4 linked regions of the Callithrix jacchus genome follow. The protein of the gene in region 1 binds, or shares a complex with, the protein of each later gene. Links are inferred from orthologs where the notes say so. Each region holds a gene or a part of one and is shown in the gene's direction. Other genes may lie near its edges.

Region 1 (7,347 bases):
CCACCTCCAACACTGGGAATTACATTTCAGTATGAGATTTCGGTGAGGCCTCACATCCAAACTATATCACATTTGATCACAGTTTCTCCCTATTGTGTAGTTTATGTATTAACAGGAGAATTCTGTGCCTTGAAGTCACTAACATCTTCATCAGTAAGTTTTCATTCTGTTGATATCTCTTACAGGAGTTGCAGTCGTTCACGCAGAAATCATGTAAAGATGAAATGATACTTTGGAATTATCACAGAACCGATAATCTCCTGCTCGTGGATCACTTTATAGAAAGCATATAGTGTATCTCCCCTTGTTGGCTGCGTTAATCAGTGCCATGTCAGGGTAAATTTGCATATTGCAGATTCAGTCTCACTGTTGTGAGAAGGTTTTGTAACTAGAGGCCTTGGGTGTCATCTTGTTAACTTAAAGCATTGTAGTTGGCGATCAGCTGCATGTTTTTAATGAACATCTGTGAATTTAGGCAGAATTGATTTATTATTATTCTTATCACTGAAATGCCTGATGAGGTGAAATCCAGAGTGAGTCCTCCGTTTGTTTGACAGAGCAGGAGAGGAAAAGATGATATGAGAAATGGTAGGTGGTGGCGGGAGGGAAGAAAGGAGCAAAAGACTAAAATAGTAGGCCACCGTGCCGTATGACAGTTTGTCTCCGTCTTGGGGGCCAATTAGGAAGTTGATCCATGGATTTCTGGCTTTTTGCCCACTGTAGTTTTAACTTGACCCACAAATGCAAACAAACATCCTAATGACTTGACCTCTTTGGTCATTTCCTTCCAAGAAAGCTGTGATGTTCTGTCACTTCTCTGCATTCGGACTAGCTGTAAATCCTCTCCCACATCCTTTGGATGAAGAATTGCTGGACGACCTGAGCCAGCTTATTTCTGTCTTGGGCTGCAGCACGGCACATAGTCCGTAATGAGACGTATACCCAATCCTATGTGACATAAAGACGATCTACTCAGTTCCAGAATCCTTTGTTTAAAATACAGGTGGTTAGAGCAAAGATTTAATTGGAAGGAGTAAGTCATAGGAGGGGAACTCCTTTCTCCAGATCTGTACTCAGAATTGCTGTTCAAATCAAATGTTCAAACATCTTGATGCAGGCTGTGTTAGGTGTCCCTTCCCAGTGGTCTCATCATACTCTGTACACATGCCTCTAACTCGATTTTCTAATTACCTGCTAATATGCCTTTCTCTTTTTCCGTTTTTTTTCTTTTGAGATGGAGTTTTGTGCTGTTTCTGTTGCCCAGGCTGGAATGCAGTGGTGCAATCTCAGCTCACTGCAACCTCCGCCTCGCGGGTTCAATTGATTATCGTGGCTCAGCCTCCTGAATAGCTGGGACTACAGGCGCATGCCACCATGCCCGGCTAATTTTTGTATTTTTAGTAGAGACAAGATTTCTCTGTGTTGGCCAGCTGGTCTCAAACTCCTGACCTCAGGTGATCCACCCGCCTCCGCCTCCCAAAATGCTGGGATTACAGGTGTGAGCCACCGCGTCCGGCCTAATATGCCTTATTCTTGGCCCCCATCCCATGCACTAATCTTAAACCATGGACTCTGGGAAGAAGACTGACTGTCTATCATTCTACCCGGCACATTGTCGGTGCTGGAGTAAATATTTGAATGAATATAGATACAGGAATTTCAAAAAGAGAAATAAGATTACCAAATAATTTTCAATCCTGGTAGAACCTTTAAAACCTCTGCTTCAATTGGCTTTGTCACCAGCAACATTTTAGCACTAAAATGCAGATTTTAATAGTAAATGCCGTTCAGATTCAGGTTGTAACAGTTAAGTCAGTAAACTTTCGTTTCTCAAACTAGGTCACTGCTTGAGTTTTAAAAATAAACTGGAATTGAGTGGTCTGTTTTTATGGACCTTCTTAGTGGTATTCTCCACCACCCCGCATCCTCTTAGCTGCCTTGTTAGTCGTAAGCACACCCTGTTCACTCCGCATGAGTACGCTGAGTCTCTGTGACGTGCACACAGGCACTGCAACAGGAGCATGTGGGTTAGATGAAGAGCAAGGCATGTAAATAACGGATTATAATATAGTAAGAGCTACCATGGAAGAATGTGCAGTGTGAAATGTGAATCCGAGGTAAGGCTGTTAGAGAAAGTCACGTTTGAGCCTAGTCTTAAAGCATGAGGAAAGGAGATAAACATTACAAGGAAGGGAAATAGCATATGGAAAAACCCAGAAGCAGGTACGGAAATGGGAAGTGTGTGTAAGGGGGAGTGCTGGAAGATGAGGCCCAGGGAAGAAGGCCGACCTGAGTGGATGCCTGCGAAGGCGTTTGGAATTCAATGTGCAGGCCAAAGGGGGAAGTCACTGAAACATTTTAGACAGAGGAAGGACATGCTGTCTCTGTTTGCTGTCCATGTCTTCTTCCCTTTAGAGATTTTTTTTCTTGTTTTTCCCTATCATCACTACTGCTTTCTCTGCTAATGCTTTGTACCTGCTTCCCTGCCAAGATAATTTATTTATTTGATTACAGTAAAATGGTCTTGGCCGGGTGTGGTGGCTCAGGCCGATAATCCCAGCACTTTGGGAGGCTAGATGGGTGGATTGCCTAAGGTCGGTAGTTTGAGACCAGCCTGGCCAACATGGTAAAACCTCGTCTCTACTAAAAATACAAAAATTAGCCAGGTGTGGTGGCACATGCCTGTAATCCTAGGTACTGGGGAGGCTGAGGCAGGAGAATCCCTGGAACCCAGGAGGCAGAGGTTGCAATGAGCTGAGATCGCACCACTGCACTCCCCCCTGGGCAATAACAGCAAAACGCTGTCTCAAAAAAAAGAAAAAGGTCTTAGATTGCAGTTTAGAACATCCTACAAATCAGGAAGTTTGTGTGTCCCCTACCCCCTAGTCACAGTAGATTGTGACCGTGATTGCATTTTGTTGCTTGAAAAATTGACAGACCAGGATTATCTCATTCCATTTTTACTGTTACACGGAAAAAAGAATGACACCTTCTTGTATAAAAATAATTCCTTATATTCTACCAGTTTACCAGAATGAGCGTGAACATGAGAGCAACTGAATTTGTACTCTTAATACGTTCTCAGTATTCTGTGTTTAACCCTTTTTAGGCTTTTCATTTTCTGGGCCTAGATTATAAATGGGCCCTCGAGACTTGAAGTCAGGAGAGGTCTTCTCTGTGGGGCTACCACAGTGCTCCTGGAGGTGGCTTTTCGCTTTTGACCCTGTGCATCCACAGTGTGTGGCTGGTTGTGCGGCACCGTCTTAGCCAGTCTCACAATAAAACATTCTTTGGAATTTTACAAAGATGTCCTTCTTGGCACCTAAACAGAGAATCATTTGTCTCCAACCGATCATTTTCCATTTGTAAACCCTGCTCAATTAGAAAATCGTTTATGAATAGTGTCCTGTTTTTTAAATGTAATTTGAAAAACTGCTGTTGCCGGTGGCAGACTTGCATTTTATATTACCTGGATGTTTCAAGCCTTTATGCTTACTCATTCACACGGGTCTGCTAGTGAAGCCAACCGCAGGTGTGGGAGGCAGGCAAGCCTCAGGGGAACCCAGGGCTCCTTTGGTCCATTGCTGCCACCTGCTGGGGCCGGCTGATGGAATGGGAAGGCTGCCCAACAGCGAGCTAAGCCATCCTGAATGAACCTCAACCTCTGTGTAGTTCCAGTACTAGCCAGCTTTTGTGTTTCTAGGTGACAGTCTACCCCTGACTTCCAGTACTTTCTAGGTGACAGTCTACCCCTGACTTCCAGTACTTTCTAGGTGACAGTCTACCCCTGACTTCCAGTACTTTCTAGGTGACAGTCTACCCCTGACCAAAAGGACACTGTGAACTCTAGAGCGTTATGTCAGTCACTGTAAAGTGGTGTCACATTATGTTGGTGACACCTCATCTCCAGCAGTGATGAGGCCCTGAGAATGAAAACACACTAAGGACTCAAAGATCCTAGAGTTTCAGAGCTGGAAGAACCGTAAACCAGATGCAGTATGTAGTCACATGAGTCACCTAGGCACTTGTTAAAATGCAGGTTCCTGGGCCTAGCCCCAAAGACTTTGATTCGGTAGACCCAACATGTGTCTTATTTAACTGGCTTCCCACAAGGTTCTGATACAGGTCGTCTAGCATCACTGCAGAAGAGAAGAAAACTCCTGAGATATCCAGGCAAGAGCTTCTCAGCCGTTGTTCTTATTAATGCCTCGTTTCAATCAATAAGAAAAGTTATCTTTCATCAATGGGATGAGTCATCACCATACTGCAGCTGGTTCTTTGAAGCAGACGCACACAAAATAATTAACTTTCCTTCCTTCTCTAAGAAGGAAATCTGTACTTTGTATTGGGCAGCTTATTGTGGAATGCTTTTTGGCCTTGAGCATTGGCAAGCAAAGGTGGAGTTTCATATTACACTTAACATAGCCATTATTTCCATGACTGCATTAATCATTTAGTAAATGTTTGTTGAATTTTTAGGGACCTAAAACACCATCATACAGATTCTTTTCTTTGTAGAAGTAAAACACAAAGCTGCATCCCCGATAGTTTTTGAAGATGTCTTACTATCCCTTCTTTGTTGTCGTTGTTGAAATAGAGTTTGGTTCTTGTTGCCCAGGCTGGAGTGCAGTCTGGCTGACTGCACCCTCTGCATCCTGGATTCAAGCGATTCTCCTGCCTCAGCCTCCCTAGTAGTGGAGACAGGGTTTCACCATGTTGGCCAGGCTGGTCTCAAACTCCTGACCTCAGGTGATCCGCCCACCTCGGCCTCCCAAAGTGCTGGGATCACAGGCATGAGCCACCGTGCCCAACCTGATTATCACTTCTTGTTCCCTTCTCTGTGTGGCAAGCTTGGCTAAAGTACAAATAGCAGTAAATACAAATGACAAAAAATAAGTGGCCTAATAACAAATTTGAGAACTCACCTTAGAACTGAGGTTTCTGAATACCTGTCGTATGCCTGCTTGATAGAATATTCTCAGAAATGTTAGTCATTTTTTATGTATGCTGTTGCTCCCTGAAACTGCTGGTTTCAATCTGACTGTAAACTGAGTCCTTGAGGCTGCTGAGCTCAACGGCAGATTACACTTGGTGTACTGTGTCACACTGAGTGAGGACCAGTAATATTTTCATGTGTTTCAGCTAATGTTTTTTGTGTTTGTTTTAGCTTTTAAGTCATTGGCATTCAGGACTTTTATCCCCTTTAATGCAAATGATTATATAGTTAGTGCAGTGATCATATCACACATGTGGAATCAAAAGGCAGTTTACTTATAGATCAATCTTGCTGAGCTTTTAGGAGCATTTTTTTTTTTGAGATAGAGTCTCGCTCTGTCTCCAGGCACCAGGCTGCAGTGCAGTGGCGCGATCTCGGCTCACTGCAACCTCCGCCTCCCAGATTCAAGCAGTTCTCCTGCCTCAGCCTCCCGAGTAGCTGGGAGCATAGTTTTTATGACTTGCATACGTGCTTTGGCATAGCATCTTATTTTAAGTTTTGTTTGCTGCCTTTATAATCTCATTTATTAGGGTTTTTTTGTTTCTGCTTTAGGTGTACCTGAAGGAAATCTTAAAAGAAATTGGAGTTCAGAATGTAAAAGGGATCCACAAAAACACGTGGGAGCTGAAGCCAGAGTACAGACACTATCAAGGAGAAGAAAAGAGTGACTGAGGTGCCTCCCGGCCTGCATGCCAGTGAGACCACTAGCAGTATGCTGAGCAAAAGGCGCTTGAACACCGTATGTTAACAGGGGTGAAGCGACGACCCTACTTTCATTTCTCTCAGTAAATTTTTTAAACCTGTAATTCTTGTAAAGTTTCTTAACTGGTTTCTTTTATTTTGTTTTGTTTTGAGAAGAAAGAACAAATTTATTTATAGACTTCACTTGTATTAAACCAGATTATTCACAATGGGAATAGGGGTTAGAGGATTAAGAGGGTTTTTCTTAAGTATTAGCTTTTAAACATGTACAGTTAGGAAATGTTTTTTAAATGAGGGCTCTCTAACCTTCCTGTTATCTTTGAGGAGCTGAGGTAATGCAGATCCAAGGAGGATTGTATAGCAAAAAAGAAAAAGGCAGTCAGCTGTAGAAACTCATAGAAGGAATAAAAAGCCAAAGTTCCTTACTTAAAAATTGTCAAAGAACGACGCGGTGTTTTTCTTGTAAACAGGTGGTCGTGTTTCGTGTTCGTACTCAGTGTTAATAAAAGGAGAGCATGTAAGCTTGTAGTGAAATGGCAGTTTTCATGATTAGCCTGTTTTACCGTAGTGATACTGAAATGAGAAATATGCAGAATCGTGGTCAGTTGATGTTTCTTTTATTTGCTTTTAAGAAAATTAGAAATTAGGCTGGCTCATGCCTGTAATCCCAGCACTTTGGGAGGCCGAGGAGGGCAGATCACCTGAGGTCAGGAGTTTGAGACCAGCCTGGCTAGCATGGTGAAACCCCATCCCTGCTAAAAATACAAAAACCAGCCAAGTATAGTGGTGGGCTCCTGTAATCCCAGTTACTCAGGAGGCTGAGGCAGTAGGATCACTTGAATCTGGGAGGCAGAGGTTGCAGTGAGCCAAGATTACGCCATTGCACTCCAGCCGGGGTGACAGAGTGAGAGTCCATTTCAAAAAAAAAAAAAGAAAATTAGAAATTAAATATCTTTCCATAGTTTCAAGATATGTCTACCCCAGTCAGATTATAAGCTTCTCAAAACTGGTTTGCCCCCAGAATTTCACTACTCACCCAGCAGACATGTATTGACCATCACATGGCAAATGATATCAGCAGATAAGAGGGGCACAGGGGTATAGCTGAGACAGAAAAGGCTGGTTCCAATTCCTGGGTCATTTAATTGTTTCTTTTTTCTTTAATTAATTTTTAAATGAAAACAATACGTGTATATGTTAGAAGTTTTTTCTAGCACAACACATTATGTATTAGGCAATCCAAACTCATACCATCAAGACCACTAGACAAAAAAAGAAGCTTTAGTAAACTAAGCACAGGGAAAAGCTGTTTTTTTGTCAGCTGCTTCTGGATGCTTCCAACCAAGAGGTAGCAAGTGCCCAAGTTGCCATAGTGTTTGCAGGGGGAAAAAATGAGGGAAAAACAATCAAAATAAGTAGCAAGTGCTAAAAATTGAAGAAAATGTTACATAATTAAAACAAAGCAAGGAAATACCTATCCATTAAGAAAAACAACTTTTATATGATTTGCTTTTAGCAGCAAAACATTAGAATTCTGAGATTGTTAACAGCACTTATGTACATGCTGTAAAGTAAAATTCTGAGTAAGGAGGGTGTTCTCATTCCCATCCCACCCCAACCTGTCTTATGTATAGGAACCAAATGTGGTC
Region 2 (8,013 bases), on another chromosome or scaffold:
CTACACTATTGTCTAGCTCAAACCACCATCATCTTTCATTTGGAGTAATAAAATGTCACCTCAATGGTCCTTTCTGTAACTTAAGATTACTCAGAAAGATTTTAAACAAAAGTTTGGGAGATAGTAGTGCTGGTTGCACAATGTGAATGTCACCAAACTCAACATCTCAAAATGGTTAACATGATGAATCTTATGTGTAACAAGATTTAACAGGCAAACAAAAAAGAAATCTTTCACAGAGACAATGGTCTCTTCTATTTCTTTTCAAATATCTTGCAGCTATGCCATTCATATTTAGATCTTTAATCTACCTGGAAACTACTGTTGTCAATAGTTTGAAAGCAAGAATCTAATCCTATCTGCTGTATTCCATAATGATGCCACATATCTCACATATCTTACCATCCTTTATTGAATAGTCTATGCTTTCCCCTTGCTTTGCAACACCACTCAGTGGTATACTAAGCTGCCATATGTAAATAGGTATGTCTCTAGTTTCTCTGTTCTGTTCCATGAACCTACTTCTCTATCCCTGAATCAATACCACACCATCTTGATAATTACAACTTCATATTAAGCTTTGGTATCTAATATGGACAGACCTTATTTTTCTTCTTTTTCAAAATTGACTTCCCAATTCTTGGTCCTTTGCCTTTCCATATAAATTTTAAGTTCAGCATGTCAAGTTCCATAAAACCATACAGTGATTTTAATTGGCATCACACTAAATTCACAGAAATTGGTAAAACTGGTATCTTCTTGTTGGGTCTTTCCATCCATGAATATGGTATATGTAACCATTTACCTGGGTCATCTTGTGTTCCAACAGAAACTTATACTTTTCTGTCTAAAGGACCACACAGTTTAGACCGATCTATTTCTAGATACCTTTAGTTGTGAATGCCATTATGAATAGTGTCTTTTTATTATTAAAACTCCTAGTTGTTACTGGTATATAGGTTTTTAAATGCAAAGTTCTTCCTGAAGGCTATTTCTGACATACCCCTGGCCAAAATAACCCTTCTAGTTACTCTTTATCACATCATCAAATGGTACCTTCTCCTTAACTGATTTCAGTGTCTCTCTGACCCCACCAAAATTAGTTTCTGATTCATCATTGTACCCCAAGTGCCTAGAATAGCTGGTACACATCAGGTGCATAAAAATGGAACTGATTAAGAGGTCAAGGAAGAGAATGTATTGCAAGATAAAAAAAAAAAAGCAAATAAAAGATTATTGGGAAGAAGAAGACTTGGAGACAATTTTGTTATTGTAAAGAGAGTGCAACAATACAGAAATCACCAGCTGGAAAATATTTGAGGGACAGAAAGAGGGAACTAAATGGAAGAGCTGGGTTCCCAAGAGATCACATGAATAAACACAATGTTAAAAAATAAAAATAAAAAACCAGCATGAGGCTGGGCACAGTGGCTCACGCCTGTAATCCCAGCACTTTGGGAGGCCAAGGCAGGCGGATCACCTGATGTCAGGAGTTCCAGACCAGCCTGGCCAATATGGCGAAACTCTGTCTCTACTGAAAATATAAAAATAAGCTGGGCGTGGTAGCACACGCCTGCAATCCCAGCTACTACGGAGACTGAGGCAGGAGAACTGCTTGAACAGGGGACCAAGGATGCAGTGAGCCCAGATCGCACCAATGCATTCCAGCCTGACCGACAGACCAAGACTATATCCAAAAAGAAAAGAAAAAAAAAAAAAGCAGCATGAGCTTAATCGCACCAATGCATTCCAGCCTGATCGACAGACCGAGACTATCTCCAAAAAGAAAAGATTAAAAAAAAAAAGCAGCATGAGCTTAATTGGGGAAATAGAATTTAATCTAAGGAACAGAAAACAAGAACCTCATATCTTAACTAGTAAAAATAATGAGGAGTGTTCCTTTAGACTGCAGAACAGATTTGGGGTAAGAGAATAACTTTAGAACCTTCTGGGGTCTTTCACTTTAAAATGACTGTTGCCGAGTTTTAGAGATGTCTCGGCATTCAATCTGTTCAATCTATGGGGTTAGAGAGGGAGCAGGAAGCAGCAGTCGGGAAGGCTCAGATGTGACCGGTGAGGCGGTTTCCTACTTGTCCTCATTATCTCTCCGTGACTACCGAGCCCGGGAAGACCAACTGGCAGGTGCACTCCCCGAGGCTTCGACAGCAGCCAGAGAAAGGCAGCGACCGGGAAAGACGAGTCAGGCTCGCGACTACCAGAAAGAGGCCCTCGCGCTCCGCAGAGCGTCCGCGGATCGGTCGGGTCCGCGCGCCTCACAGTGGTGCCCGGCCGTGCCAGGCCCCCGCCCTCCCCTCTCTCCACTGCCTACCGCGCCCAGCTACGCCGACGCCCCCGTCCGCCCCCACACCAGCCGGGCCTCCACGTCCTACCTGCCGGCACGCGGACTCGGCCAGTTTCCAACCACTCGCCGCACCCCGTAGGCTGGGGAGCCCTCTCTGCGGTGGCGGGCCCGGGCCCTCCACCAGGCGGCGGGCGGTTCACGACCCCGCCCCCTCGGCCCGCTGCGGGCCTGCCTCCCGCCGGCTCGCTCCACCCTCAACAGCGTCCCTAGCGCGATGACGTATAGACGCAGGCGCACTCTGTCGGCGACGCCGAGGCGCTTTTGCATCTGTGGGCCGAGGTGTGTGTGGCGAGCGTTGGAGCGGGTGGGGATAGTAGGGTGCGGGAAGACTGAGGGGTTCCAAAGAGAGAGGGGAAGAAGAGAAAAGTCCCAGAAGCCTGTCCACCGGGTGCTGGGGGCACAGGGCGGTGTTCTGCACTCTCTCCGGGCCCTTCCTGGCGGAGCTGCACGCCGGTCCCGCAATCATTTTTAATCGTGGGTTTCCTGTGGGGCGGCTCGCTTTGCACCCAGGTGTAAGTGGAAGGTTAAGTGGGCGGACGCTGAGTGGTTGCCTTCCAGCCTAGGTCCGCGGGGGATGTGGTTTATTTAATGAAGGAGCACGAGATCTGGCTTGTCCTTTTTTTTTTTTTAACTTTCCCGGGACCTAGGACTTAATTTGTTCCTTTGGTCTCCTCATCTGTAAAATGAGGTGGTTGGGTCCGGGTGCGGTGGCTCACACCTGCGGTCCCAACACTTTGGGAAGCCGAGGCGGGCGAATCACTGGAGACCAGGAGTTCGAGGCCAGCCTGGCCAACATGGTGAAACCCCCAGCTCCAATAAAAATACAATAAATTGGGCGGGTGCGGTGGCTCACGCCTGTAATCCCAGCGCTTTGTGAGGCCGAGGTAGGTGGATCATTTGAGATAAGGAGTTCGTGACCAGCCTGAAATCGCTTGAACCCTGGAGGCAGTGATTGCAGTGAGCCGAGATCACTCCACTCTGGGCGACAGAGCTAGACTCAGTCTCAAATTTAAAAAAAAAAAAAAATATATATATATATATATATATCTTTTTATATGCGTATATATATATATATGTACACACACACAAAATACAATACAGTAAATTTTTTTTTTTTTTTTTTTTTTTTTTTGAGACAGAGTCTCCCTCTGTGGCCAGGCGCCAGGCTGGAGTGCGGTGGCGCGATTTCCGCTCGCTGCAGCCTCCGCCTCCCTGGTTCCAGCAATTCTCTTGCCTCAGCAACTGGGACTACAGACGCGCACCACCACGCCCAGCTAATTTTTTATATTTTAGTAGAGACGGGGTTTCACTGTGTTGGCCTGGACAATACAGTAAATGAACCAGGCTTGGTGGCTCATTCCTGTAGTCCCAGCTACTCGGGAGGCTGAGGCAGGAGAATTGCTTGAACCTGGGAGGCGAAGGCTGCAGTGAGCGGAGATCGGGCCACTGCATTCCGGCCTGGGCGGCAGAGCCAGACCTTGTCTCAATAAAATGAGGTGGTTGGGCTCACTGTAATTTCTGAAGCACCTTTCAGAAGTGTCTTCTTTGATTCCTGTTTTTCAGGATCTTACCCTTTGTCATTATCCTGAATGGGAAAAGAAATCCTTTGATTACTGGATGGTTTACACCTGGATTGGGTACACTGGTGTAGTTAGGCCGCTTGCTTCTATTAGAGCTAATTGACCGTGGGTAGAATAGTTAGCAAGTAAGATGTGGCATTAATATTCCAAGCAGACTCGTTTTAATTTTGTTACAAAATCAGTATGTCTCTTTTCTTTAATGTTAACTGTCTTTCATAGACTTAACTGTTAAATATTGACGTTTAATATGTTGCCTCATTTCAGAGGCACATCCCCAAAATATATGAAAGTTAATGATTTTTAATTTAATGTCACCTTTTTCTTTTTATTAGCATTCTTGAGGTCATCTGAACCTTCTGACTGAGAAAAGATGGTCAACGTCTTGAAAGGAGTGCTTATAGAATGGTTAGTAGTTTTGATGCTTTATGAGTTTGAAGTTTAAATATTGAATCTTGACTTACATGTATATCTTTTCCAGAACCCTACTGTTTTTAAGATATGCATGAAATCAAGTCTTTTGCTTTCCCAACTTCAGTTTTCTTGTATAACAACTGGGACAGATTTCAGTCTCTTCTGTTGAATTGATGGAACTGGCATGATCAGAGGCAGCATATTTGTTAGATAAATCTTTAGAGAAACAGTGCTTGCATTCTCCTCAAACATGACTAGAATTCTAGGGCCTGAAAGAGTTTAGGAACTTGCTTACGTCTTTACCATTACAGACTGTGGACTTTATAAAAGAGAAAAACAAAAGAGCCAGATGGGGAGGGTTTCTTAAATTCCTTTAGATACAGTACAAAGGAGAAACTAAAAACCATAATGGGTAGGGGTAAGTTCCTCAAAGCAATCTAATGTATAGGAACCCTGGGAATCCTGCTCTATGGACACTCCCATTGTCTGAAAATACTGCTGTCTACCTTTCTGTGCCTCTAATATGAGCCAGTGCGTGGATAATGTTACTGTTTCCGTGATGGGCGTGGATAATGTTACTGTTTCCATGATGGCAAGGCTGAGGAGGAGCAAGACGAACTCGAGGACACCACCAACATTTAGAACAGCACTAACCAATAGAAATCTGATGCGAGCCACAGATAATAGGCTTACATTTTTTCTAGCCGCATCAAGAGGAAAGTCAAATGAAACAGGTGAAGTTAATTTCTTTTGTTTGACCCTGTAAATGCAAAACACTGTGCTTTCAACATGTACTAAGTCTTCAAAAGAAATCTTCATCTTCAAAGTCAAATGCATATTTTAATTTTATAGCACATCTCACAGACTAGCCATGTTTCAAGGAGTCTATAGTGACCTGACTAATGGGCCACCTTTTGTACTGTGCCAATTTGGAGTTTGGGTAGAGGAGACACCAACAAAGGCAACTAAGAAGAAAATAGCCAGTGCGATTGGAGGGAGGAAAGCCAAAGGAGGAAGTGTTTCACAGGGATGAGTGGGCTGTATTGGGCACTGATTGAGAACTGGCCCGAGATGAAGATTGCAGTTTTGATGAGAGCTGTTTTAATGGAGTGGTGGGGCAGATGCCAGATGGAGCACTGTGAAAAAGGAAAGGGAGGTGAGGAAGTGGGAATGGAGCCTTTGGAAAAGATTTGCTGTAATAATGAGCAAACGGATAGCTGAGGAAGGACATGGTGAGGGCTCAGGTTCTTGTTAATTTTATTTTAATGTGAAAGACTTGAATGTACGTTGATGAGAATAAACCCCTAGGGGAAAAGCAAAGGGGATGGGATCTGGAGCCCCGCAGTTCAAAACACACTTTTCTGTTGTCTTTTGAAGACTCTAGGTTTGATGTACTTATTTTCCTATTCATTTGTCATAACATAAACATTTTCCTGGTTGGCCTTTTAGTGTTATTTTTAAATACAGAGGATACACATGCACAGAATGTCAGCTATCAATTTTTTTTCCTTTTGTTTCTTCCAATTCTAAGTTTAATCTTCACCCCTGGGTTTGTTAAACATTGACTTCTCTTGTGGGGGTTTTGTGTTTTTCTTGGTGTTTTAAGGTTCATCCATCTAGAATTCATTGGAAGGAGAGGCATATTATGAGGTGAGGATCTAAATTAGCTGCTTTTCTGTTTTGAGCTTTTTTGTCTGCTCATTTTGCCAAATAGCTAAACAGTTCTCCACTGTTTATTTCCTTTCCCAATGATGCTTGATGCCGCCTTAGTCACATAATTTTACTCCCCTTTCTATTCTCTCCCATCCCTTCCCACATTCATTTTTGTTTGTTGTTGTTTTTGCCTATTCTAGAATAACCTTGAAATAATTTAGTCTGTTTCCAAAATAATCCTTTTGGCATGATGATTGAAATTGCATTAAACCTACGTTTTAATTTGGAAAAAAAAAAAAGGTGGCTAGATTGCATCTTAAAGAACAAAACTCTGGGACAGGTGCGGTGGTTCACGCCTGTAATCTCAACACTTTGGGAGGCCGAAGCGGATGAATCATGAGGTCAAGAGATGAAGACCATCCTGGCCAACATGGTGAAACCTCGTCTCTACAAAAAATACAAAAAAAAATTAGTCGGCATGATGGTGCATGCCTGTAATCCCAGCTACGCAGGAGGCTGAGGCAGGAGAATTGCTTGAAACCGGAAAACGGAAGTTGCAGGAAGCTGGTATCATGCCACTGCACTCTAGCCTGATGATAGAGCGAGACTCCATCTCAAAAAAAGAAAAGAACAAAACTCTGGGTCTCGAGACTTTGAAGTCTCAGTGCCTGGTTTGCTGTTCTGTATCTAGCCTCTGAATTCTGCCTGGTCTCTCTAATGTCTGTCCATCCCCTTGCACTTCAGGATAATCCCCAGACTAGCAGCAATAGCATCAGCTGGAGATTGTTAGAAATACTGAGTCTCAGACCTTACCCTAAATCTACTAAATCAGAATTGTGCATGCAAAGGACCTTGTTGGCGAGGCTCAGTGGCTCACACCTGTAATCCTAGCACTTGGGAGGCCAAGGCAGGTCAATCACCAGAGGTCAGAAGTTTCAGACCAGCCTGACCAACAAAGTGAAACCCTGTCTCTACTAAAAACACAAAAAATTAGCCGAGCGTGGTGGCAGGTGCCTGGTGCCTATAATCCTAGCTATTCAGGAGGCTGAGGCAGGAGAATCACTTGAACCCAGGAGGCAGAGATTTCAGTGAGCCAAGATCACACCATTACACTCCAGCCTGGGCAACAAGAGCAAAACTCTGTCAAAAAAAAAAAAAAGGACCTTGTTAAGATGCATTTACATTTTGAGAAGTACTGTTAATCAGCTTCAGTTTAATAGTTTCCCTATGGAGAAGTGCTTTGCACCAGGGCTGTTAAGTTTATTTTACAGGTAGGTACTGTCCTTGCAAAACTAATTTTTTCATTCAAAGTGATTTCTAAAGTGTAGTCTGCACAATTTTTCAAAAGGGTAACTCTGTCTTCCCCAAACACAGGTCTTCCAAAAAAGATTTTGGGCCTAAGAAATAACATAGAGTCACAAAGGGTACGTGACGGCCATCGCTAGTGGATTCCCCTTTGCAATCAGATGCCGATGTTAGGGTGGTAACTGGAAAAAGTCACTCAGTTTCCCTCCTGTACGTATTTGATGCCAAGGAGAAGCTTGTTATTAATACAGTATCAGCATGAGTCTGTTTATTCATAATATCCATGGATTACATGAAGCATTTAGGCGTATTGGAGGATGGGATTTGATAGGTCTGGAGTGTATAGGTAAACCATTCAAGGATCTTCTACAACTGTTGCAGGACACCAAAATTGAGGCTCAGCTCTGGAGGCCAAGTCAGTTTTGGCTTCATGCAGGAAAGAATTCAAGAGTGAGCAACAGTGAAAGTGAAAGCGAGTTTATTAAAAAATAAAGGAATGAAAGGATGGCTACCCCATAGGCAGGGTGGGGTGGGGCAGGTGGGCAGCAGGCCTGCTAACTGCCTATTTTATGGCCATTTCTTGATTATATGCTAAACAAGGGGTGGATTATTCCTGAGTTTCCTGGAAAAGAGACAGGGATTCTGTGGAACCAGGAGTCCCCGGTCCAGACCATATAGGGTAACTTCCAGATCTTGCCATGG
Region 3 (7,995 bases), on another chromosome or scaffold:
CCACCCTGCCTGGTTGTTATTGTTTTTTTGAGACAGTCTTTCTCCAGCTCTGGTGCCCAGGCTAGAGTGCAGTGCCATGATCTTGGTTCACTGCAACCTCTGCCTCTCATGTCTCAGCCTCCCAAGTAGCTGGGATTACAGGCACATGCCACCATAGCCGACTAATTTTTGGCATTTTTAGTAGACGCAGGTTTTCACCATGTTGGCCAGGCTGGTCTGGAACTCCTGGCCTCAAATGACCTGCCTGCCTCAGCCTCCCAAAGTGCTGGGATTACAGGCATGAACCACAGCACCCAGCCATCATCATAAAAATACAATGGTAGTGTTCTACAAAGGGAGTTAAGAACATCTTTCCCCAGCTTTGATAATACTGGTGTAGCTGTTACAGTTATCATTAATAAAACACCCATCAAATACCTGTCAAAGCACTTCCTGGTGGTGGTGATTATTTCACCTTATTGATACAGAGAAAATCATGGCACAATGTCACATAGGAATTTAGTGGCAAGAGGCAAACCCAATTCCACCAAAACTCCAAACCATATTAATTTATTTTTGGTGAAAACGACAAACTGGTCTATACTTTGTTCTACAGAAAATAACTTAGAGCTTGTGGTGTTTTAAGACATGAAGTAGCAATTTCAAACTAAGTTACAACAGAAAAAGATAATTTAAAAAGTTTTTAAAAAAAATCTCTTCCTCACATGTACAGAACTAATTTGGGTGCTAATTTCTTCTTACAGTAACCACCAAAAATCTGTGCACGTGAAAATTGGCAGTTTCTTTGTAAATGCCAAAAACATAGATGAAATCTGAATGCAGTATAACTGTTTTTGGTAGTACTGAAATATCTATGCTCTCAATAGCTTAAATGAATGCTTATGACTATGCACTATATTTTAAAATAGGGGCTTTCATTTAGATTAGTAAACTTGCTGGGTACAGTGGCTTATACCTGTAATCCCAGTACTCTGGGAGGCTGAGGAAGGTGGATCACCTGAGGTCGGGAGTTCCAGACCAGCCTGGCCAGCACGGCGAAACCCTGTCTCTACCAAAAGTACAAAAATTGTCTGGGCTTAGTGACGTTTGTCTGTAATCTCAGCTACTTGGAAGGCTGAGGCAGGAGAATCACTTGAACACATGAGGCGAAGGCTGCAGTAGGCTGAGACTGTGCCACTGCACTCCAGCCTTGGTGACAGAGCGAGATTCCATTTTAAGAAAAAAAAAAAAAAAGAAAGAAATGATTAGTGAGCTTGAGGCATCTTTCTTCTTCAATTTTGTATCATTCCAAAATGCCCACTACTACTGAGCATATGAGGACATAAATGTGCCTCGAAACTGTTTTTTTTTTCTCTTTCTTCACTGTTTAAGAAAATGAAGTTTGATAGGAAGTCATGAGATTTTAGTTTAAGCCAATTTTCACAATCTTTTTAGACTTTTCTTCTTGGCGTTGTTGCTAGAAATAGTCATTTGGACTGTAAAACATTTAAATGTTTGGACATATAAGGTTTGGTGTCATTTTGTTGATGGTACAGCAAAACTTATACATTGATTTTTTTTCCTTTTCTTCTCTTGTTTTACAGTTATCTAGTGTTTAGGCTGCATATTAAAAGAAAGATGCAACATTTTATCTCCCAACATAAATCATTTTGAAGTTAAAAAACACACAACACAAACATTCATCACAAAGAGGGTACTATTATGCATCTCCCTAAATACATGGCTGTTACAAAGTATGAGATCACAAATAGCAAATCCTATATAGTAGAAATTGCTGTTAAAGTTAGAAACATCATTTAAGCTGTAGGAGACCAAGAGTAAAAAGTTCAGATAGAAACAATTTAAATATGATGCTAAATGTAGTCTTACTTGGGAGAAGTTTTCTCTCACAAATTTTCAGTTTTGTGAATTAAAGGCCTGCAGCTTCCAAGTATTCAGTCCGACAATTTTGGTGCAAGATCAGAAAACATTTCTCTCTGAAACTAAACTGGATGGCACACATAGGTTACAACGAAGGCATGTAATACCTATTGAGGGCTTGGAAAACCAACATATTGGAGTGGAATCCATGATGGCTGGATGCCAGACACACCATCTAATGCAAGTGCTTGGGTAAATATTAACCAAGTGCTTAGGTCTTTTTGTAATCTAGGTGTAAAGAAAGAACCTAACTCAGAGCCTCCAGGGAGTGTGATGGACTTAAGGAGGCCAGGATTGGGTTTTGTGCCACTTTAATCCAATAACTACATTCCACTATTTCACCGATTAATTCTGTGAAGAGCAAATCTCATAGCTTCTCTTCCATGTCCAGGGCAGTGGTTTCAACCTTAATTGATGGCAAAACTACTCAACCATTTATCAAGAATACGAAGTGGTAGGGGAGAAAACTAAGTGGAAGGTGAGGGATTCCATGTACAAAGCGTTTGGGAGTATGTATATAGGGAGGTAACAAGAAGTCCTCTCAATATGCAGTAAAATTTACCAGGAATGGTATTGTTTAGTGTAACTTTACAATTGGGCTATCACCTGAATATTAAATAAATCACAAATGTTGATTGAATCACAATTTTACATTGCTAAGAACACTGATTTCCTGTGATTTTTTTTCTTTAAGTGTTCCAGACCATGCAGCTGTGCAGGTAACTGGAAGTAATTGTTAAGAGGGGAATGGATTTGGTGTGAAAATAAATCTCAAGGTTCATAGATATTCTCCACACCCATTGATAATCTCCCATTTTCTGCGTATTAAAGGCCCCTGCTTTCTCTAATCCCTTTCTTCAGGTGTTGGCAGGCTGCATTTTTTTTTTTTTTTTCTCTTTGGTAAGATGCCTTTGACATTCTTCAAATCTGGTTTCACCAGCAAAGAACTTTTCGTTTTGCTCTGTCTTTGGAAGACAAACTCCTTCACTCATCCAGATGACATTTCAGGTCCCTCAAAATTCCAGGGGCTCCGTTCTGCTTGTAATGTTGATATAAAGGCAGGATTTGTTTGGACAGAGGAGGTCAAAAGCTTATTGGATTGCACTTCAAGACACGGGCACAGCCGCCGTGCTCTCTTATAACTAGAGGCCAAGCGATTTGGGTCAAGGGCATGTGTTTCAATGTGATCAGTCACTACACGTTGGCCATGCGGAGTAGTGGGATTTTGGCAGTATTTTTTAAAACCAGGGAAAGTTATTGTGCTGTTATAATCCAAAGGCTGGTGGGGTTGTCTCCCCTACTCCCCGCACCGCATTTCCACCACCGTGACAAATTATTTAAAGTACGTGGGCTAGTAGGGAACTAATCTCTGGGTAACCTAAGTAAGCCTGGTCTTCGTAGCGGACCCAGTGTGGAAACAAACCAAGTCAGAGGTTAGTAACTCTGGAATGTGAAAGTGGGCCCCAATCGGCTTTTACTCCCATTGGGAAATTCTACATAATTCTGCCCGCGAAAGACCCACCCTCGGCGAGGAGCGAACGCTCCGAGGCTCACAGTCAAAGCCTCGCTGACAAATCAAGAGATGACTCCGCATTTAAAACCGTCCCGAATCGGAACCCGCCAGAGGCCGGAAGCCGCACCACGTGACCAGTTCTCCGCGGCCATTCCTAGCGAGGCAGTCGCTACCGCTTGTCTCATTTCCTAGCTCCTCCAGCGCGGGACCGGGCGGAAACGTGCGACAGGAGGCGGTCCCACCTAGCTTTGGACTGGAATGTCACTAGAACTCGCGCCTTTTCCAGAAACGCTTTGCAAGTACTTCACCGCAAAGAACTGCGGCAGACTTCCGCCTGGGTGCCAACCACGTGATCACGCGAGAGTTGGAGAGGCGTAGGTCCGACTTCACTACTTCACTACCCAAGCTCCGCCAGTCGAGCACCCCCACCGCGCGTGACGACGCGGCTCGCGGCGGCCTCCGCCCCGACGCGCCTGCGCACGCGGCTCTCGCGGTGTCTCGCGCTCAGCCCCGCCCACCTCTGCCCCCGCCCTTTCCACCCCTCCCTCCCCCATCACCCTGTCTCTCAGCGGCGGCGGCGGCGGCGGCGGTTCGCGCAGCTTGTTGGCTCGCTATATAAAGGAGAGAAGCGAGCGGACCGGACGGCTGGAGCTGCAGCCGGTGGCAGCAGCGGCGGCGCAGGGAGCGGTGACCGGTGGTGGTTTCCCTCCTTGGCGCGGGGTGGGGAGCGGGCAACGCCCCCGGACCCCTTAAGGGTCGTGGATTTTTTTTTAAAAAGACGATTCTCGAGGTTTTTAGCTGCGGGAGGAGTGCCCCCCTCCTCCTCCTCCTCCTCCTCTCCGCTCTCCCCTACTCCTTCAGGATTGATTTTGTTTAAGTTTTTTTCCCCAATCTTGCGGTGACTTGGGTCACCCTCGGGTGTTTTAGTATTTTTTTTTTTTGGTTTTGTTTTTATCTTGTTTTCTTGGGGTTGCCCCCTCTTGTTTGTGTTGTGTGTGGAAATGGCGAACTCGGCAAATACAAACACCGTGGTAAGGACGTGGTTCGGTGGCCGGCGGGGGCTTCGTTCAGGCGGCAGCAACGGCCGGACCGGGCGGGGGCGGGGACGGCGGCGACTCCCGGCCTCGACTCTTCAGCCGCCCGCGCGGCCGCCGCCGCTGCCGCCGCCGCTTCCCGCCTCGGGCGGATCGGGCCGGGGCGGCGGGCGGCGGGCGCGGGGGGGCGCCGAGGGCTCGCGGCTCGGGGAGGGCGGGGGCGCCGGCGGGGCCTGGGGCCGCCGCGGGCCGGGTCGGGCCGCGGAGGCGGTTGGGCCCGGGCGGGCGCGCAGCCCCGGCCCCAGAACCCGGCCCCCGGGAGGGAGGGCGTGAGGGGAGCCGCCGCTTCCCCCCGAGGGGCCCGTCCGCGCTGGCTAGACGATGGCTCCCCGAGCGGCTTAAGAACAAAAACCGTGTCTGGGGAATCGGGCGAACCCCTGAGACCCACCGTGATCCACTTTAATGCAGTGGAGGATTAATGGCTACTTTTGGGGGTTACTTAGGTTTTTTCCTGGCAGTTGTGCTTTGGGAACCTTCACTGGGGCCATTTTATGTTTAAAAAAAGGACTAAGGTTGTTTGAAAAGCACTTATCTCAGTTCCTTCCGAATGGGTAAAATGGCGAAGGGGAAGCAACCCCCCCCCCATCGTATCTTCGACTAGCAAAAGCACCAAAACAAACAAAAAAAGCCTACAGTGGTCCAAGTGTCCCTGCTTTCGCCTTGAAATTTGCCTACTTCTTCCCGTTGGTCCCTTTTTGGTTATTTGCGATCACGTAGGTTTGCAAAAAGCAGTCACATAAATAACCTTTTCAGTCACCAACGCAATGTGATCACTAGTCCCCCCAACTCTTATTTTTATATGACAATAAAACACGTTTTTGCCCGGTCCCAAATGCCGCAGACTAGCCCGCGGCCGCCCGACACCGTACCGTTGGCGACTCGGGTCGATCCATCATGGCTGCGGCCGCTTACCCTGCTTTTCAGTCCCTGAGCTTTGTGGTCCTCCTCCCTTTGGCTGCCCTGTTTATATAGAGCCATTGCCGCTCTCTAATATAGACTCTGCCAGGATGGGTAGGTGCTTTTCAGGCCTACGTCACCGCCTCTCCATTTAAACACCAGATCCGGCTTTAAATAGTGAGAGCTGCTGAGAGCGGGGCTGGGAGGTGCGTGCTCCCGAGGCGAGAGCCAGGCGCGTGCGGAGCTCAGTTTATTTGTAGGTCCTTTTTTCACGCTGTAATTTCGCGCCTGTCGGGGGCTGCTTTCAGAGCCCCAAGTTTTTGTTTTGTTCCTAGCAGCAGCTAGGAATTACCTTCTTTTGTTTGTTAGGGGAAATATATCCGAATCGCTGTCCGTTTTTATTTACAATTTTCAAAATATGAAAACAAAGAATTTTTGATCAGATAGTCTAGTGATTTTCCTGTGTGCATTATTTTCAGGAATTAAAAAAACTGCTTTCTACAAAGTGTTAGCTGCAGAGGACTTGGTTTTTGTTGTATTTTGTTCAAATATTCAGGAAACAGGTTAGAAATACAGCTCCTAATATTTCATTATGTTTTTCTATAGTAAATCTAAAAGACACGAGGCCTTTCAGAGAAATAGATAAGTGCCTGAAGCTTCAGAATAGGACCATTTATGTGTAGGGGAATCGTGAGTAATTAGAGGGAAGAGACTTAGTGCAAACTGGATTTTAAAAAACTGTTAAGTAGAACTTTATCGCCTTGGATATTATTAACACAGTATCCAGTATAAAAATTATTTCAATTTATTTTTCAGCATTGCATCAGGGAATTAACATTTTTGAAGGAAACCTCCTAAGAAATCACTTAATAATGCCACTAGTGGCCCTCTGATAAACCAGTTTTCAAGTTTGAAATACCTGTCTTTTTAAAAATCAGGACAAACCTAAACTATTTCGTGAGAAACGGAAACTTTGACTCAATAGAGTGAAGAATTTTAGGTACTAGTTTATAAATTGCTTATTTCAAATAATGCCTATGTGCCCACATAGTTTTCAAAAATTCGTGTCTTGAGTGCTTTTCAAATTGTGAACAATTCTAAATTATTCATTGGGCATATACTTTGTGAAGCATACACGTTTCCCTTCTTTAAACTATAGTGCTTATGAAGCTGTTAAGTGATCAAGTTGTGAGTTCATTAAGGCACAAAAATAAAATCTTAAAGAATGATTCATTAAGTAGAGGAGTACCAGAAGAAAGCAAATTTATACCTATATATCTCTGGATCTCCAAGCAAAAGGTTTTTAGAGGTAACTGATTTGAGGAACACCACACCATCTAGTTTACTGAAAAGCATTATGTATTGTCAATTTGAGATTTATGCTCCCAATTTAAAATACATTGCCCTTCTAATGCCTTGAGGAGTCATTATTGATTAAAAAACAAAACACTATAGAGATACTTTTGTAATTCAGCAGTTAAATTAATTTAGTTAAGATGATGTCCATAGTCACATATACTTTCCTTATATGTAGAAACAGAATGAATGTTAAAGCAGGGACGATAGAAATGTTCATTTTGCAGATGAGTAATTTAAGCTTCAAGAGGCAGATTGGGCGAAATAAAGAGGTTAGTGAGTGAGTGGAACAGTAAAGCAAGAACCCAGATATTTGAATTGGTTTTCTTTTAATGAGAAGGAGTGAATAGTTTTTAATGGTTGAGGTAAATTGTACTGACAAATTTATTATTTGTATTTTGTTTGTTTTGTTTTCAGAGACAGGCTCTGGCCCTGTCACCCAGGCTGGAGTGCAATGGCACAGTCTTGGCTCACTGCACCCTTTCCCTCCTGGGCTCAAGCCATCCACCGCAACCTCCCAAATAGCTGGGACTATACAGGCACGAGCCACCACTCCTGGCTAATTTTTTTTGTAGATGCAGAGTTTTTCACCGTATTGTCCAAGCTGGTCTCAAACTCCTGAGCTCAAGCAGTCCTCCCAAAAAGCTGGATTGCTGGTGTTAGCCATTGCACCTTCCCTCATTATTTCTAGTTTTGACAAGGCAAGGACACATTTTCTTAGCAGTTCCACTGTGATAACAGTGTTGCTGATAGAGATGGTAGTGAAACATATTTCTGTTTGAAGTTTGCTTATGAGAACAAACCCTTGGTTTTATTTGGTAGCCATTAACTTTTACCTTAAGCAAGGTATGAAACACGAGTAATGACAGAGCATCTAAAAAACTTGTTAACCATAACTCTGTAATAATGGGGGATTTATAACCAGGGAACTCTGGTTTTGTCAAGGCAATTCTAGTTTTGTCTTCTGACATGACTTCCTTTTTTCTAACAGGTTAAAAATAGGACATGGGGAACAAAAAAAGAAGGATGTGGATTGGGCTGATTGTTTTATCTCTCACCTTGGAGTTTTTTAAAAAATATTTTATACTCTGAAAGTTCTTTCACATCTCTTCTCATTTTGCTCATTTTACCATTCAACCTTTAGAAGCCAGCTCCTTTACTTCCCCGCTCCGCCTTCAAGTAATACCAACAATGCAAATTGTAATAATCGTAATA
Region 4 (7,911 bases), on another chromosome or scaffold:
GGAGCCACAAGCTCGCGCGCTCACTAGGCCCCGAGGCGCGCGAGACCCGAGACTAAAGCGCGTGGGTACTTGGGAGGTGTCTTGGTTCTTCTCCTGTCTAATCCCGTGTGTTCTCGCGATTAAAGCGCTGAGACTGAGAACCTAGTTAAAGCTGCCGCAAAGGCACCGGAGGGTTAAGCTAGGTGGGCGGAAGAGATCTGCGTGTGCTTTGGGTTTTTCACTTTCTTTTTTTTTTGAGACGGAGTTTCGCTGTTGTTACCCAGACTGGAGTGCAATGGCACGATCTCGGCTCACCGCAACGTCTGCCGTCTGGGTTCAAGCAATTCTATTGCCTCAGCCTCCCGAGTAGCTGGGACTACAGGTGCGCACCACCATGCCCAGCTAATTTTTGTATTTTTAGTAGAGACAGGGTTTCACCTTGTTGACCAGGATGGTCTCGATCTCTTGACCTCGTGATCCACCCGCCTCGGCCTCCCAAAGTGCAGGGATTATAGGCGTGAGCCACCGCGCCCGGCCGGTTTTTCACTTTCCACCATCTTTAACGCCTCACTGCTATCACAAGCAGCCCTTAATAAATCACATTTAAAAACGAGCTTCCGGCCGGGCGCGTGGCTCACGTCTGTCAGCACTTGGAGAGGCCGAGGCGGGTGGATCACCTCAGGTCAGCAGTTCGAGACCAGCCCGGCCAACATGGTGAAAGCCCCGTCTCTACTAAAAATACAAAAATTAGCTGGGCATGGTGGCGCGCGCCTGTAATCCCAGCTACCTGGGAGGCAGAGACAGGAGAATCGCTTGAACCTGGGAGGCAGAAGTTGCAGTGAGCGAAGATCACTCCACTGCACTCCAGTCTGGGCAACAGAACGAGACTCCGTTTCAAAAATTAAATAAATAAAAATAAAACATAGCTTCGTGTTGTTTTGGTCCTTAAAAAGGCAAATAAATTTAACATCCCAATGTCGCGGATTCACAGAACGAACACTTTTTATTAATAACTATACTTGGTTTTGTTTTCAGCTGTCGTTATTTGTGCAACAACATTAAAAAACAAGCAGAAATAAAACATTCACGGGACGGATCCGACCGCAGATTGCGAGAGCTGTCTTTTCAATCAGCCACCAACAGCGGCGGCACACAATTTGCGCGTAGGCAACTCTAATGCCCGCCCCAGCGCGCCCTACACTTTGCGCAGGCGCAGATCCTAACTTTGGCGTCCTTGTGGGCGGCCTTCGTGTGAGACGCATAGTATTCTGGGAACGCTGGAGACGGAAGTTAATTCGTCTATAGCTCCAGACGCTGGTGGCTTCTGTGCGCTCTTTTGTCTTTTCGGTTTCTAGAGTTAGGAACTCGGGAATCTTTTGGCAGTATGTACGACGCGGATGAGGGTAGGTGAACACTCAAAACACACGCCATGGCGGTCCATTTAAGCAGGGAAGCGTGGGGAAGTGGTCGGATGGAGGATTTGGGGCCTTCCCACGCGCCGGCCGCGTGGTCCCCAGCCTTGTTACCATACTTTCCACGCCGGGAACGAAACTAGGCTAGGGAGGGGCAGAGGGTGCAGGGAACATAGCATTAATGTTGCTGATTAGGTTCACTGCTGCTCTCTGCCCTTTCTCGTTCCGTTAGATCTAATCCCCGCCTCCTGTATTGTAGTAGCGTGCAGAACCGTAAGATAAATTCCGTTGTTTTGAATTTGTCTGAAGCAAAGGGCACCCTTTAAAAATTATCCTAAAAGCCACAGTCGATTTACTGAATAGCTCAATTGATGTCAGCATGTGCAAGGCAATGCGGAAGGCCCTGGAAATACACCGGGACAGACTATCGGAGGAGGGGGGTGGGGGGCGAAACGGTTTAGTCTCACATTTCTTCATGCTTTTTGTAAGTGAAATTGTCTTAAAGGATGGCCTTTAACCTTCTTCTCACAATGCCACAGTTCTCAGATGATATATATTCTGTTGCACCGGACCAGTGTATAGCTTTTTCTTTGCGCATATAGATTTCTTAGTAGTGGCTGAGTGCAATGGCTCACCCCAGCACTTTGGGAGGCCGAGGCGCGCCGATTGCTTGAGACCAGCCTGACCAACATGGGGGAAATCCCATATCTACTAAAAATAGAAAAATTAGCTGAGTGTGGTGGCCTGCGCCTGGATTCCCGTCTACTCAGGAGGCTGAGACCGGAGGATCACTTGAACCCAGGAGGCGGAGGTTGCAGTGACCCGAGATTGCACCACTGCACTCCAGCCTGAGTGACACCCATCTCAAAAAAAAAAAAAAATTCTTAGTCGAGTCTAGTGTATTTTCGTAGCTGCCTTTTCCATAGCTGCCTTTTCCATTCTCCGTATCTACTAATTCAAACCTTATTTTCTTCTAGCTCTTAATTCTGTGGCTACCCCTTACATCTCTATTTCCTCAGCTACTTCTGATAAATTAGATGGAAAAAATTGAAGCAAAAGCTTAAACTTTTTTTTTCTTTTGAGACTCAGTCTAGCTCTAGGCTGGAGTGCAGTGGCACGATCTTGGCTCTTTGCAACCTCCGCCTCCTGGGTTCAAGCGATTCTCCTGCCTCAGCCTCCCGAGTAGCTGGGATTACAGGTCCCCACCACCACACCCAGTTTATTTTTGTACTTTTAGTAGAAGAGAGGGGTTTCACTCTGTTGGCCAGGCTGGTCTCGAACTCCTGATCTTGTGATCTGCCCACCTCAGCCTCCCAAAGTGCTGGGATTACAAGTGTGCGCTACCTCGCCTCTTTTTTTTTTTTTTTTTTTTTAAAAGAGATGGGGTCTAGCCATGTTGCCCAGGCTGGTCTCAAATTCCTGAGATCAAGCCATCCGCCTGACTTGACCTCCCAAAATGCAGGGATTACAGGCATGAGCCACTGTCCCTGCCCAAAAGCTTAAACTTTTAAAGCTGTTTAAACTTCTTTCTCATTAATATCTTGTGTTCCAGAAATGTATTAGCATCATCATATTCCCTGTTAACTACTCTCTCAGTAGAAGAAAAATAGAAAAAAAGATTTTTTAAAGCATAATTTTTGGCTAGGTAATATATTCTCATAGCTCACAAACCAGAAAATTTAAAAATGTTAAAATACGGTGGCTACTTTAACAACTGAGACCAGCCTGGGCAACACGGGAGACCCCCCTCTCTGTAAAAAATTAGCTAGAGTGTGGTGGTGCTCACCTATAGTCCCAGCTACTTGGGTGGCTGAGGCAGGAGGATCACTTGAGCTTGGGAAGTTGACACTGCTGTAAGTTGAGGACAAAGTGAGACCGTCTCCAAAAAAAAAAAAAAAAAAGTTAAAAGTGTTAGGTCTCCTTCTTATCTACCATCTGCCCAGTTGACCACAGTAGGCAACTAGTGTTATAATAGGTTCTTATCACTCCACAGTTTCTTTTTGTTTTTTGACAGAGTATTGCTCTGTACCCAGGCTTGAGTGCAGTAGTGCAATCTTGGCTTACTAACCATTGCCTCCCTGGTTCAATCAGTTCTCCTGTCTCAGCCTCCCAGGTAGCTGGAATTACAGGCGTGCACCACCATGCCCAGCTAATTTTTGTACATTTAGTAGAGATGGGGTTTCTCCTTGTTGGCTAGGCTGATCTCAAACTCCTGACCTCAGTGATTCACCTGCCTCGGCCTCCCAAAGTGCTGGGATTACAGGTCTGAGGCGTTGGCGCACAGCCTCTACAGTTTCTTTATGCATATTTAAGCAAATATAAATGGGATTGTTTTCTTTTTTTAAGGACAGAAAGTAACGTTTACACTTTACTCCACTTTTAGATTTTGCTTAATGGAGATGTTCTTGTCAGTACACAGAGAGCATCACTTGCTGCCGCCCCTGCCTCCGCCCCCAGCTAAATAGTTTGTGTGGATGTAACTTTAGTGTCTTGATGGATATTTGATTTGATTTATTTCTAGTCTTTTTCCGTTAAAACAGTACTGAGAGTGAATAATCTTGTACATATAATTTGCCCAAATATGTCTTTAGGATACATTCCTACATATAAAATTGTCAGGTCAGATGATACGCACCTTTAAGATTTTGCTAAATGGTGGCAAGTGACCACCACAGTGGTGACTGTTCTAATTTTGTATTCTTATTGGTCATGTATAATGATCCTGTGGGAAAACAAGAGTTAATCAGAGTTGCTTTAGCAGTGAAGCTACATTTTATTTGTGCCCATGTCATCTAAAATGTTTATTAGGTATGTCCTCATCAGTTTTTAGCGACTCCTTTTCAGCTGGCTTCTTTCTATGTGAAAGTGTTGGATTTCTGTCATCCACATGGAAACAAGTTAAACTTTTTTTTTTTTTTTTTTTGAGACAGAGTTTTGCTCTTGTTGCCCAGGCTGGAGTGTAATGGCGTGATCTCGGCACGGTGTGATCTCAACTCACCGCAACCTCCACCTCCGGGGTTCAAGCCATTACTCCTGCTTCAGACTCCCGAGGAGCTGGGATTACAGGCATGTGCCATCACACCCAGCTAAATTAAAAAAATTTTTTTTAATAGAGATGGGATTTCTTCATGTTGGTCAGGCTGGTCTTGAACTCCTGACCTCAGGGGATCCACCCACCTTGGCCTCCCAAAGTGCTGGGATTACAGGCGTGAGCCACTGCGTCCTGCCTCAGAAAAAATTTGATGAATGGATGAGTAAATGAGTCTCCTTTATGGGTTCGTTTTCTTTTTCATATGACCCTTAAACAAAAGTGTTCCCAAGTACCCTGCCTTCAGTCTTCCTTCTCTGTGTAAAATCTCCTTTTTCTATTGCTCATTTATTAATGATTCCAACTCTGTACTTTTTTCAAAGTTTAAAACGTTTATTGATACATAATAGATCTACGTCTGTTATGTGTCAGTGTATATTGATTATGTGTCACATGTTCTTTGTTTATAATTTAGACTGTTCATTTGAGTTTATATTCATACACGTGTGTATTTGATCTACAGATATCTCTAAAGCCGACCTAATCATGACCTCTTTCTTCTACCATTTTACTTGCTCCTCTGTGGCAGTGATACTAGCTTTTAATCTCCCATCAAAGCTAGAAATATCTGAGCTATCATAGATAGTTTTGTCTTTCTTACCCTTTCCCCATGTGTAAGGATTGATAATTTCAGTCCATTCAAGAAGGATTTATTAAAAATTTATTTTGTATATGTATCAGATTTTGAACCCAAAGCTCTTAAGGTTTACAGGCTATATTTGTGTACATTAGAATAAACCCCAAAAATACAGCACACTTCTTCTTTCACATAAGAAGATTGGACTAATATTGGAGGAACAATGCACACTGATTCTTTTGAATGCGTAAATTACTATTGTACAACTACACTAAAATTTAGCTACTTAAAAAATTTCTTTGTTATGTTCATGGATACTGTAGGTCAAGATTTTGAACAGGGCATAACAGGCATGACTTGCCTGTGTTCCACTGTGAATCTTGTTCATTTGGGAAGTCATTAAGGCTGAATGTTGACAGCTGGGTGACAGATCTATAGTATTGACACTCATGTCTGACATGAGACATATCCCAGTAGGACTCAAGGACTAAAATTGCTAATGGAGTACCTGTAAGTGGCCTCTCCTTACAGTCTGGGCTTCCTCAGAATGTAGCAGCTTCAGAATAGTGTTTGACTTAAAAATTAAAAAAAAAAATTTTTTTAAGATGGAGTCTTGCTCTGTTGCCTAGGCAGGAGTGGTGCCATCTCAGTTCACTGCAACCTCTGTCTCCTGGGTTCAAGCAATTCTCCTGCCTCAGCCTCCTGAGTAGCTGGGATTACAGGCATGTGCCCCCATGCCCAGCTAAGTTTTGTATTTTTTAGTAGAGACTGGGTTTTGCCATATTGGCTTGGCTGGTCTTGAACTCCTGACCTCCCACCAGTGATCCATCCACCTTTGGCCTCCCAAAGTGCTAGGATTATAGACCTGAGCCACTGTGCCTGGCCTGTGTCTGACTTTTTAATGACAGCTCAGGGCTCCAGAAGCAAGTGTTTTAACATACATTACAGAAACTGCATTGCCTTTTCTGATCTTGCTTTTGAAGTCATGCAGCATTGCAGCATTACTTCAGCTACATTCTTTTTTTTTTTGAGATGGAGTTTTGCTTTTGTTGCCCAGGCTGGAGTGCAATGGTGCAATCTTGGCTCACTGCAGCCTCTGCCGCCCTGGTTCAAGTGATTCTCCTTCTTTGGCCTCCCAAGTGGCTGGGATTATAGGCATGTGCCACCATGCCTGGCTGATTTTGTATTTTTAGTAGAGACAGGGTTTCACCATGTTGGTCAGGCTGGTCTCAAACTCCCAACCTCAGGTGATCCGCCCGCCTTGGCCTTCCAAAGTGTTGGGATTACAGGTGTGAGCCACCACGCCTGACCTTCAGCTGCATTCTCCTAGTTACAGGAGAGTCAAAGGCTACCCAGATTCAGAGAAAGGATGCATAGACCACTATATCTGATGATAGGAGTATTAAGATCACTTTATAGAAGACCATGTGGGATGGGAGATAGGCTTGTGGCATGTTTGGAAAATGCAATCTTTCATACCTGTACATGTATGAAATGTTGCTGTAATAGATCACCCCACCTTAGGGTGTTGCCCAGCTGTTGGAATCCTTCCATGGCTCTGCCCCCTTACCCTGTTCTCTGACTCTAGTCTCTGAAAATCTTATTGATCAATAAAATGGAAAACTTAAAATTCATACAACTTACATTGAACCTTTCTAGTAAGCCTCTTTGTGTATTGAAAGAATACCTGTGTGGCAGACATAAATTATTTTATTAATGTAATTGAAATTTAGAAAAGTGGGGTGAAAGGATTACTTATTCAGCAGAAAGAAAATATGTTTTTGCTACTTAAAGTCATATGTAAAGTCGTAGGAGCAAGATGTTAACTAAGTGGCATCTTGTTGCAAATGAGTATAATATTTTGTTTTTACAGATATGCAGTATGATGAGGATGATGATGAAATCACTCCGGATTTGTGGCAAGAAGCATGCTGGATTGTAATCAGGTAACTATGGACCAAACTGAATAAGCTTGAAAAGACACTGTAGATTTTCTGCTTATTCTTGATAAATAGATGTTCTGTATAAATATGCTATATGAGAGTATTTATTATTTTATTTATATATTTTTAAAGTATTTCAGACCTAAAAGTTGCACAAAGAAATCATTTAATCACTTCACGCAGATTCTGAAAATATTATCTCGTACTACGTTTTCTTTGTCTTTTTTCCTTTTTGTACATACTTTTTTCTGAAACATGGTGAGAGTAACTTACAGATCACTTGAGCGTGGGAGGTTGAGGCTACAGTGAGCTGAGATCTCACCACTGCACTCCAGCCTGTGTGGCAAAGTGAGACCCTGTTTCTTTTTTCTTTTTTTTTTTGTTTTTGAGATGAAGTCTCACTCTGTCACCAGGCTGGATGTAGTAGCACGATTTTGGCTCACTGCAACTTCTCTCTTCTGGGTTCAAGTGATTCTTCTACCTCAGGCTCCCAAGTAGCTGGGACTACAGGTGCACGCCACCACACTCAGCTAATTTTTGTATTTTTGGTAGAAAGGGAGTTTCACCATGTTGGCCAGGATGGTCTCAATCTCTTGACCTTGTGATCTACTATGTACCTCAGCCTCCCAAAGTGCTGGGATTACAGACATGAGCCACCATGTCCAGCTGACCCTGAAACAAAACAAAAACACTTGCAGACATAAGGACATTTTTTTTACATAATCACGATTATGGTGATCTTATTTAATCTATGGACCTTACCTACATTTTGCCAGTTGTCTCACTGATATTTAGAGCAAAATAAAAATTTATCTTATTTTATTTTTGAGACAGAATTTCACTCTTGTTGCCCAGGCTAGAGTGCAATGGCGCAGTCTTGGCTCACTTCAACCTCCACCTCCTGTATTCAAG

What was found.
Region 2: GTF2F2 (region 1) and GTF2H5 share a complex: the UniProt entries of both Homo sapiens proteins name them as parts of the TBP-based Pol II pre-initiation complex. The link is inferred for Callithrix jacchus from reciprocal best matches to the Homo sapiens genes GTF2F2 and GTF2H5.
Region 3: GTF2F2 (region 1) and GTF2A1 share a complex: the UniProt entries of both Homo sapiens proteins name them as parts of the TBP-based Pol II pre-initiation complex. The link is inferred for Callithrix jacchus from reciprocal best matches to the Homo sapiens genes GTF2F2 and GTF2A1.
Region 4: GTF2F2 (region 1) and POLR2B share a complex: the UniProt entries of both Homo sapiens proteins name them as parts of the TBP-based Pol II pre-initiation complex. The link is inferred for Callithrix jacchus from reciprocal best matches to the Homo sapiens genes GTF2F2 and POLR2B.

The regions. Positions count from the first base shown.
Region 1 is NC_133506.1:164,480,003-164,487,349, forward strand, and holds the end of GTF2F2 (general transcription factor IIF subunit 2), read left to right. Parts: intron 1-5,548; coding exon 5,549-5,668; 3' UTR 5,669-6,072; downstream 6,073-7,347. UniProt on the Homo sapiens protein: TFIIF is a general transcription initiation factor that binds to RNA polymerase II and helps to recruit it to the initiation complex in collaboration with TFIIB.
Region 2 is NC_133505.1:164,988,838-164,996,850, forward strand, and holds the start of GTF2H5 (general transcription factor IIH subunit 5), read left to right. Parts: upstream 1-2,629; 5' UTR 2,630-3,246; intron 3,247-4,274; 5' UTR 4,275-4,312; coding exon 4,313-4,347; intron 4,348-8,013. Other genes in the region: protein SERAC1, read right to left, coding at 2,391-2,629. UniProt on the Homo sapiens protein: Component of the general transcription and DNA repair factor IIH (TFIIH) core complex, which is involved in general and transcription-coupled nucleotide excision repair (NER) of damaged DNA and, when complexed to CAK, in RNA transcription by RNA polymerase II.
Region 3 is NC_133509.1:116,181,069-116,189,063, reverse strand, and holds the start of GTF2A1 (transcription initiation factor IIA subunit 1), read left to right. Parts: upstream 1-3,993; 5' UTR 3,994-4,434; coding exon 4,435-4,464; intron 4,465-5,396; exon of another isoform or gene 5,397-5,470; intron 5,471-6,240; exon of another isoform or gene 6,241-6,424; intron 6,425-7,995. UniProt on the Homo sapiens protein: TFIIA is a component of the transcription machinery of RNA polymerase II and plays an important role in transcriptional activation. TFIIA in a complex with TBP mediates transcriptional activity.
Region 4 is NC_133504.1:139,812,250-139,820,160, reverse strand, and holds the start of POLR2B (DNA-directed RNA polymerase II subunit RPB2), read left to right. Parts: upstream 1-1,264; 5' UTR 1,265-1,363; coding exon 1,364-1,382; intron 1,383-6,929; coding exon 6,930-7,002; intron 7,003-7,911. UniProt on the Homo sapiens protein: Catalytic core component of RNA polymerase II (Pol II), a DNA-dependent RNA polymerase which synthesizes mRNA precursors and many functional non-coding RNAs using the four ribonucleoside triphosphates as substrates.